Macaca mulatta: one gene and its partners. The protein of the gene in region 3 purifies or fractionates together with the protein of the main gene of each other region. This does not show direct contact. Links are inferred from orthologs where the notes say so. Each region holds a gene or a part of one and is shown on either strand. Other genes may lie near its edges. The genes, in order: ARL2, LRRK2 and TUBB.

What was found.
Region 1: the proteins of TUBB (region 3) and ARL2 purify together in Homo sapiens (co-immunoprecipitation; 3 studies listed by BioGRID and IntAct, counting the BioPlex papers as one, with this or other methods). This does not show direct contact. The link is inferred for Macaca mulatta from reciprocal best matches to the Homo sapiens genes TUBB and ARL2.
Region 2: the proteins of TUBB (region 3) and LRRK2 purify together in Homo sapiens (co-immunoprecipitation; 5 studies listed by BioGRID and IntAct, with this or other methods). This does not show direct contact. The link is inferred for Macaca mulatta from reciprocal best matches to the Homo sapiens genes TUBB and LRRK2.

What each region holds. Positions count from the first base shown.
Region 1 is NC_133419.1:9,364,101-9,366,493, reverse strand, and holds the end of ARL2 (ADP-ribosylation factor-like protein 2), read left to right. Parts: intron 1-291; coding exon of another isoform or gene 292-304; coding exon 305-419; intron 420-640; coding exon of another isoform or gene 641-730; exon of another isoform or gene 731-731; intron 732-1,317; coding exon 1,318-1,452; 3' UTR 1,453-1,782; downstream 1,783-2,393. UniProt on the Homo sapiens protein: Small GTP-binding protein which cycles between an inactive GDP-bound and an active GTP-bound form, and the rate of cycling is regulated by guanine nucleotide exchange factors (GEF) and GTPase-activating proteins (GAP).
Region 2 is NC_133416.1:47,247,326-47,250,133, reverse strand, and holds the end of LRRK2 (leucine-rich repeat serine/threonine-protein kinase 2), read right to left. Parts: intron 2,258-2,808; coding exon 2,136-2,257; 3' UTR 625-2,135; downstream 1-624. UniProt on the Homo sapiens protein: Serine/threonine-protein kinase which phosphorylates a broad range of proteins involved in multiple processes such as neuronal plasticity, innate immunity, autophagy, and vesicle trafficking.
Region 3 is NC_133409.1:152,322,463-152,326,762, forward strand, and holds the start of TUBB (tubulin beta chain), read right to left. Parts: upstream 2,882-4,300; 5' UTR 2,808-2,881; coding exon 2,751-2,807; intron 1,709-2,750; exon of another isoform or gene 1,425-1,708; intron 782-1,424; coding exon 673-781; intron 404-672; coding exon 293-403; intron 1-292. UniProt on the Homo sapiens protein: Tubulin is the major constituent of microtubules, a cylinder consisting of laterally associated linear protofilaments composed of alpha- and beta-tubulin heterodimers.

The DNA of each region.
Region 1 (2,393 bases), on a different chromosome or scaffold from region 3:
TCATCAGATTGGAGCAGTCTAGAACCACAGAGAGCTCAGGGATCATCTTATCCAGCACCCCTCCCTGTTTATGGAAGAGGAAGCTGAAGCATGGGGGACAGCGGTGTCCCCTGTGGTGGTTGACTGGAACCAGAACCCTGGCCCAGAACTGCCATCGCCCATGTGGTCCAGCCTTGATGGCTATGTCCACAAACTCACTCCTGGGCCTCTCCCACCACCACAGGGCCTCACCTTGATCTTCCAGGTCGATCCTTCACCCCAGATGCTCTGGGCCGTTAGAGGAGGGGTCAGGCTGTCCTCTGAGTCCCCACCCCACCCCTCTGTCTTCTCTTCCCCAGCGCCTGGCCGGAGCCACCCTCCTCATCTTTGCCAACAAGCAGGACCTGCCTGGAGCACTGTCCTCTAACGCCATCCGCGAGGTGAGTCCAGGCCCTGGGACAGGCCCACTGAGAGAAAGGGGCTCACTTTTTTTATTTTAAAAGCATTTATTAAAAATAACCAAAAAAAGTAATAATAAAAGCATTTATTAGCCCCTGCTAGGTGGCAGGACCTATGCAGGGCACTGGGGATCCAGTGATTAATAAGGCATGGGGTGGCCCACAGCCTGGGGAAGACAGAACTGCACATGTGTTGTTCACAGGCTAACAGTAGCCAGCACAAACAGAGTGCTTTCAGTATGCTCTGCTCCTTGCATGGATTAACTCATTTCATTCTCACAACAACCTCATGAGGTAAGAACTATTATTTTACACATGGTGAAGCAGGCTCAGAGAGATTAGGTAACTTGTCCCAGGTCACACAGCCACTAAATAGACCAGAAGCCTGTCTGACCCCAGAGCCCACATTTTAACCATGATTCTAGTGCTCAAGCACCACAGTGAGAAAGAGCAGCGTTAAAATCTTGGCTGTGCCACTTATGAGCTATGTGCCCTTAGGCAGGTTGCTTAACCTCTCTGAACTTTGGTTTCCTCCTTGGTGAAATGGCTGACACAATCCCTGGCTCATGAGGACTTGAGGAGAATGAGAGAGGATGTGTGGGGCTCCTGGCATGATGCCCAGATCCTGGTGGATGCTCAAGAGCCCGTGTTGCATTTACATCACTAAGGGGCGGCACTGGTGTGGTACTGGACAGAGAGCCCAGGTGCCCCTGGGGGCTGACAAAGTCTCTCAGGGACCAGCGGGGCTTCCTGGATGGGATGACCTGGAACAGGGCCTTGAGGGAGGCATGGAGCTCCTCTGGGCTGGGGAGGGAAGGGGCTGAGGGAAGGCAGGGTCTGCAGTCACTGACCACCACCATCAGCACCTTTGTTCTTCCAGGCCCTGGAGCTGGACTCCATCCGCAGCCACCACTGGTGCATCCAGGGCTGCAGCGCCGTCACCGGGGAGAACCTGCTGCCAGGCATCGACTGGCTCCTGGATGACATTTCCAGCCGCATCTTCACAGCTGACTGAGCCACTCCAGATGTCCCTCCACCTAGCAGTCCAGGTCCCCCAACCCTCACCAAACACTATCCATGGGGGCATGGGAGTCAGCCAGCCAAACTAACACTCCCCCTCCTCCACCCCAACCTGCTGCTGCTACTGCTGCCCGCTGCTGCTCTGTGGCCACCCAGCTCCTGTGGCGGGAGGGCTGTGCCCTGGCTGTTTCCCTGGCTCCTGGCCTGGCCTTTGGCTACCATACCAAGAAAAGAGGACTGGGCGGGGAGGAGCTGCTACTGCTGCTACCGAGGCTGTGGGCCTCATCCTTCACTCAGCTGTGAAATAAACCACTCCTTGCCCTGATTCCTGGCTGAGTCATTTGTTGATTCAACAGCGTTAGAGACCACCTGGGACCCACAATCCAGCAGGGGACAGAAAGGAACAGACCATTGCAGTCAATGGTGAGCTGCGGCTATGTCAAAGGGATGCAAAAAAAGTTATAGAAGCATGGGACACGGTGCAACTGATTCCATCCAGAGGAGTCCAGGCAGGCTTCCTAGAGGAGGTCATGTTAAAACTGGGAATAAAATGTGAGTAGTTTTCCAGGTAGAGAAAGGGGAAGACGGTTCACCAGGGGAACTCCAACTCTCATAGGTATGAATTAGAAAAAGGGACACAGCTCCAGACCAGGGCTCCAACTTTTTGAATGGAACATGGGCTGAAATTCAGCTCCCAATTCTCTGTTGTAGCCAGGACCCCATGTGCAGTGGACAACCTGAATAGCTGTATGAGGCCAGCAGAGGTTCAGGCAGAGGGGATCACAGGACAGGCATGAAGAGCAAAGGCTCTTGGGAAATGGGGAGGGGCATAGAGTCATGTGTGGGAGGGAGTGCAGCCAGAGGGCGGGAGGGGGCCACATCAGGTAGGGGTAGCTGAGTCCTTTCCTGAAGGCGACAGGAACTCGGAACCAGTGC
Region 2 (2,808 bases), on a different chromosome or scaffold from region 3:
TGAATTTTATCTCCCCTCAATATTAGAACATTTGCATCCTTACATTTAACTTAGGAAAGTTCACAATCTTCTTTTGTTAATTCTGCTATGTTTCATCAATATATTTCACTGCCTTGATGAAAAATAAGTTGCATTTTAGTTAAAATAGTTCACACATAATCGATAGAGTGAATTAGAGTCAGAGAGGCGCCCTTTTTTGAATTCAAAATTTTCCCAAAAGAATATTTTCTGTTATGATAATGTTTGTATTTTGATCATAATTAGCAGGTTATTTTAGGCTTCTAATCAGAAAACACTTGAAGTGACTGTGCCTATTTTTTGTATATATCATTTGCTCTAAAGTCTTATATTTTGTTTCAGTACTCAAGAGCAAACAAATTTACTCACAAAACATTTTTAAGAGAACTTGAAAATAGAATGTTTCATACCCATCAGATTTTGTCCTGGGATCCTGGCAACCATACGTATTATAGAAAAGTAAATTTAAATATTCTGTAAGTTCTCAAGAAAAAACTTTAGTTGCACTTTCTTATCGTGGAATGTTCCATATACAAATTAATATACAAAGTTTCCTTTGAGGTGGATAACAGACCTGTATGTGAAAAGCAAAACACTATCACAAAGTTTAAAAATTCATAAACATGCTTTTAAAAATTTTATTATTCCATGTAAATACAGTATTCTATTTTTGTGTTTGTCTTTGGTAAAAAAATTTGCAAATACATACAAAGTGACAATGAAAGAGATAACACTGGAACAAAGAGCTCTACTGTATTTTTTTTTGTTGTCGTTAATTACGTAGCAAGTTAAAATACAGAAAATCTTTCATGTTTAAGAATTTGATCACCCTGAATATAAATAAATTTAAAGTTTTCATATAGTCAAATGCCATAAGTTCTGAGAATATTAAATAGACTAGTTGTCCTATCACAGGGAATTGTCTGAAATAATGAATACTGGTCAGGGCCAAAGAATTTACCAAAAGTACTTTTCCTAAAGCAGAAATGACCTCAAATTATTACATAGGTATTTGGCCCTGATACTCCTACTGTGGTAAGCTATGTAAACAATTTAAGTATAATTTGGAAGCCTAGGGTGGCAGATATTTTTATCCATCATAACTAAAGCTCTTTTCTCCTTCAGCAACTGAAAAGTGTTAGATATTTGTCCTCATGGTCTTGGTAGGAGCTGTGGAATTCTATAATTCTGAAAAAAAAAAGTTTCTATCTGAATGATGTAGGATCTGCAGCATCACAAATTTAGGGAAAAGATGAATATAAGCATTAGGATGAAGCAGATTAGAAAACAAGTAGCTAATGGTATGAATAAAAAAATAAAAATATCACTTGAAGGACTGAACACTGTATTTACACTAATTATACAAAATTCAGGGTATCCATACTCAAAGATAGAGTTGAAAAGATAGAGACAACTCTATCATGTCTAGGAAAGACACAGAAAGACACAGAAACTCTCCTCATATCCTAGATATGAGGACTTTGACAGTATGTCATGTTTTTTCATTAGTACTTTTAATGGAGTTTTCTTTTGGATTGAGTGAAGTTGTGTAACATGCACTGTCTGCAACAGCAACAAAGAGAATTCACATACCAACAAAGGAATTTATTAGTGCAAATTCATTTGAATATTTGCAAGCATATATGATAGTGCATTTCAAAGCAATCTAAGAGGGAATACATTACACGGGAAACTGTCTTAATATTTTCATTCTACCTTGCAGATTTCTAGAAAAATCAACAAGCAATAGTCTTGTCTTAAGCATAGAATTTAAAATAAAGTTTATCTTCATTACAGACAAGAAAACAAAAAATTATCGGCCTTATAAATTTTAGTATGAGTACTTAAATTAGGTATTTCACAGATTTATTTTCATTAATTAATGCACAAAAGTAACTGGTATTCATAAGAAATACAACATTGTGTTTTAAATAGTTCTTTAAAATATATGTTTACTGGTAAGTATTTTTACATATATTTAAATTAAAAATATAACATTCCTTCATATACACATGAGCTATTTCAAAAAATGTGAGTACCCTTTTCATGTGAACATTTTTAAATAAATATTTACAAGAGAATAATTTTCCTATCCAAAGACAATTCCTGTTTCTCTCTTATTCAATAGATGTTCCTCTCATTTTTTCAGCTAATTCTTTTCTCACTTCAATGTGTTTTTCTAAATTTTGCACTTCATGTGGAAGATTGATGTCCCAAACAGTCAAGCAAGATTGTATCTCTAGAAAAAGAAAAAGATGAAATCAAGTTTCAAAGATCCACCATAAAACATTCTTATTTTATTTCAGTTTGGCTTATGTATTTTTAGTTGACTTAGATAAATGTATATATAAACACAGCTATAACTAATGCACTAAATAATTATTTATAAAAAACTGTACTTGGACAATTTTTATAATACATTATAGAAACTACTAAATTTCAAGAAGAGTGTGGACATTTAATAAATTAACATTTCATAATCTAAAAGAAATAAAGCTTTTCAAACACTGTTGAAAATTAAACATTATGTAGATACAGGTAAGTTGTAAAAAATATTCACATTTAGTTTAAGGTTGAGCTAGTGATTGACACCTCTACTTCATCTGAAAATATAAATATTTAACACTTCATATCACTTGTAATTTTGAAAGTTTATGCCTAAGTTCTTTATACTATAAACTACCAATTAAAATTCCTGATTATACCATATGTAATATTTTCTACAAATTTATAAAACACATAATATGTTACTATCATTCATGTCATTGCACTGTTTGGAATACAGTATCC
Region 3 (4,300 bases):
AATTAACAGGGTATGGAAGATACATGATGTTTCCATCTTTCAACTTTAGAAATAATTCCCTTGGATGTATCTTCTTTCTCCTTCACTGTGATGTATTCTCCCCCCACTGCCCCATAATGTACCAGCAACAGCAGGCACTACCTCTACCCTACCTCTACCCTCCATTAGATTTCAGAATACAGTTCTTAGCACTCCAGTACAACAATCATCTCCTAACTTTTGCTGTGTCCTTGCACCCAAATAAGTTGAACACGATAGTATATCATCTGCTAATATCATCTGTATAACTTACCAAATACAAAGTTGTCTGGTCTAAAGATCTGGCCAAAAGGACCTGAGCGAACAGAGTCCATGGTCCCAGGTTCTAGATCCACCAGGATGGCACGAGGAACATATTTGCCACCTACAAAGAATAAAGTTAAGAGCTGTGAGATCTGGCAGAGGGAAAGGTTTATAGATACACTGGGAATGGAAGACAGCAGGGACCCAAGACTTGTTCCAGGTCCTGCCACCAGGTGGCAGCAGACGTCTTTGGCCCCGACGGTGGTTCACAAAAGGGAGAAAATGATAGATTCACCGAAAGGGGATAAGGCGTGCCAGGAATGGAAAGAGACCCCAGAGAAGTGGGAGACAGGGAAGGGGAACCTGAGCTGCCCGGGCTCTTGCCCTTACCTGTGGCTTCATTGTAGTACACGGAGATGCGGTCCAGCTGCAGGTCGCTGTCCCCGTGGTAGGTGCCGGTGGGGTCGATGCCATGTTCATCACTGATCACCTCCCAGAACTGCCGGGCAGGAGCAACGAGACCACAAGTCAAGTCCCAGTCAACTACGTCCCCAACTACCATTTTATTTCATCTTTTTCTTAACTTTTTTCTTTTTTTTTTTTGAGACGGAGTCTCGCTCTGTCGCCAGGCTGGAGTGCAATGGCGCTATCTCGGCTCACTGCAACCTCTGCTTCCCGGGTTCAAGCGATTCTCCTGCCTCAGCCTCCGGAGTAGCTGGGACTACAGGCGCGCGCCACCACGCCCAGCTAATTTTTTGTATTTTTAGTAGAGACGGGTTTCACCATGTTGACCAGGATGGTCTAGATCTCTTGATCCGCCCACCTCGGCCTCCTAAAGTGCTGGGATTACAGGCGTGAGCCACCGCGCCCAGCTTCTTTTAATTTTTAAGACAGGGTCTTCCTCTGTTGCCCAGCCTGCAGTGCAGTGGTGCAATCACGGATCACTACAGCCTGAAACTCCCAGGCTCAACCGATCCTCCCATCTCAGCCTCTCGAATAGCTGGGACCACAGACGCGCGCCACCACACCCAGTTAATTTTTTTTTTTTTTTTTTTGAAGAGATGTGGCCGGGGGGAGGGGTCTCGCTTTGTTGCCCAGGATGGTCTCAAACCCCTGAGCGGGAGCGATCCCAATTAGCCCGCCTCAGCCCCACATCTCCCATTTTAATCCCACACGCGCTCAGGCCGTTGTTCTAGGGCCTGGCATCCCGTGTGCCTGCCACACCCTTCCCCTAGACACTCGCTCCCCCGGGAAAGCCACAGCTTTCCCGGCTCGGGATTATGTGCAGCGGGTCCCAAGTGCTCGGTGGGCGGATGGAGGTCGACCATACTTGGATAAGCGCCGCTGTTCTTCCCCCGAGCTGGGCACCGCCCCACCGCGCGGCGCACAAAAGGCTCGGGGCACTAGAAGAGCTGCTGCCGCAGTCGACCACCCCCCACCCTCCACGTGACTGCGGCGCACGCGCAGGTCGAGCCGCCGACAAAGGACTTCGCACGTGGGCGGGGCCAGGGGCAAGAATTCCGCGCGAGGGGCGGGGCCCAGGGTAGCGCGCCCCTCCCGGCGGGCAACGCCGCATTGTCCCCGCGCGCCAGCGGCGCCCTGGCCCCGCCCCGCAGGGCCCCGCCCTTCTGCTACAACGTAGCACCCGCACTTCCTCCCGCCCCTCCCCCGCTACACTGTAACCGCGCGCAAAAAAAAAAAAAAAAAAAACCCTTGGCCTCGGAATTTTATTCCTTTGCTAGATTTCTCCCCCTTGATTTAAAGCATTCTTTCTCTCCCATTAAGTCCTGAAGGACTCGTTAAAGAAAACCACACACCCCCATTTTCTCGACATATCAGTTCACGCCCTAAAGAGGTCTCGCTTAGGTGCCATGAAAGCAAGAAAAATTAATCCCGTTCTTATTCTCCTTCCACCCCGGAACAACTACAGGACCGGCCCTCCGGGGTCGCGGGCGCGCTGGGGTCCCTGATCTTTTGTGAATGGTAGCGCCCAGCGCAGCCCACCCTGGCGCATCGCCCCCCGACCTTTGCACTGGAGCTCTCTGCAGCCGCCCGACAGCCTCACCCCTTCCCGCTCCCGTTTGGCCCTAAGAACCCCGCAGGGGGGGCTGGGCGGGATGCACATGGGCAAAACCTCGCCCCGCTTTGTCTCCGACTGTTTCCGCATCTCTCTCCCTGCCCGGTTCTTGGACCGTTAGAAGCCCTTTTAAGTAACATATGTCCTTGGTCTTCCCGCCCCCGAAACCCGAAGAGCCCTTTTACTAGTTTCTCCAAAATGTGCCTGCCAAGAAAAATGATTCCCAGTTTTCCAAAAGCAAATGCTAGTTATTATATATATAAATGTAACAAACTTGGGAGGGGCAAAGCTTGATTAAGAATGGAGAGTGCAAATGCCCCACAACCATTTTTTCATAACTTACCTGGATTTTTCCTTCTAAAAAGAAATAAAAGAGGTGTAAAATTCTTACCTTGGCACCGATCTGGTTGCCACACTGACCGGCCTGGATGTGCACGATTTCCCTCATGGTTAAAATTAATTTTTTTTGCTCGCCTCAAGGTATGTATGGGGCAAGAAAATAAGTAATTTTTTTTCTCTGCAGGTCGCAGGCTGGAAGGTTGGAACGCGCCCCAGACGCTGGAGCAGCGAGGTGCGAACGCGGCGGCAGGAAGGTTCTGAGAGGGAGAAAGGAGAGGGGAGGGCGCGGAGGGAAGGCAGGCTGGGCGGGGCGCGCGTGCGCCGGGGCTGGGAGGCGGGAGAATCGGCCCCGCGCGCGGTCGGGAGACAAAGCCTCATCGAGCCTGGCCCTGATTAGTCGATGCCGGTCATGTACCAGGCGTCCATTGGCCTCTGAGCCAGTGGACGAGCGCAGTCCTCTTTGGGAGTTGTAGTCCCCTATTGTTGTTCACGGTGCAAAATGAAGTGACGAATGGGTGGGTACCGGTTTGGTTTTTGTTGGGTTTTTGTTTTGTAAATGAAAAACGACCTTGCGCAAGATTCCTTTCCTCTGTGCCTGAGGTTTTTGTACAAAAAGTGAGCAGTTCTCGGGGATGCAGGGATTGAGAAGTCTGGGGTTCCAGAAGTTGGGTGGTGAGGTACGCCCTAAAAGCTCCCAGCTGCAGTACCTCTAGGGAAGACAGAATTGCTTAGCTCAGCGAAAAATGGGGAGGAGTGTGGCACCGTGCTCTGCTACCTCTGGCCTTTGGTGACCCAAGTCATGAACTTAAGTAAGCTTCTGCTCTCTCAAATACTTCAAGAAGGGAATCGCCCTCTTGCTATTTCCTTGGAAATTTTCGAGTCATTGTTTTGAAAGAGAAACAAAATTGCAGCAAGGGCTTTTCAGGATAGAGATGTTGTCTGGAGAGTATGTTCAAAGAATAAAATAGTTTAGAGAAACCGACATCGGGGATTTGTGAAACTAGAAGTCTCCATCCACGTAGGAGATCTGGGCCTTAGGGCAGACTTTGAAGACACCTTGATCTTCTTGTCAAACAGGGAACTATGGAATGAGATGCCTGATAGATTTTCAGTTTTTTCAGCCTACCTTTTTAGACATGTTAATGAAGTCAGTGGTTTTTCAATTCGCTTATTTCACTGACCAGGTGGCCGCCATTGCAACTCTGCAAGATACCCAGTATTGAAAAAGGAGAGAGGGGAAATTGATGGGGGAAAATTGGATGGGCTCAAGACAGAGTCCACCAGCTTCTTCCCAGAGATTTATTCACTTATTTGATAGTTACTATGTATCCACCAAATTAGGAACTATGGTTACAAAATGATTAATAATTAGTTCCCTGTCCTCCAGGATGTTGCAGTCTGGCCACTCAGAAATGTAGTATCAAGTCAACATCATTGTTCATTCACATTCGATTACACACAGATCTATATATCTATATATATATATCTATATCTATCTATATATATATATATATTGTATTTTTGGTACAGACAGGGTTTCGCCATGTTAGCCAGGATGGCCTCAATCCCCTGACCTCGTGATTCGCCCGTCTTAGCCTCCCA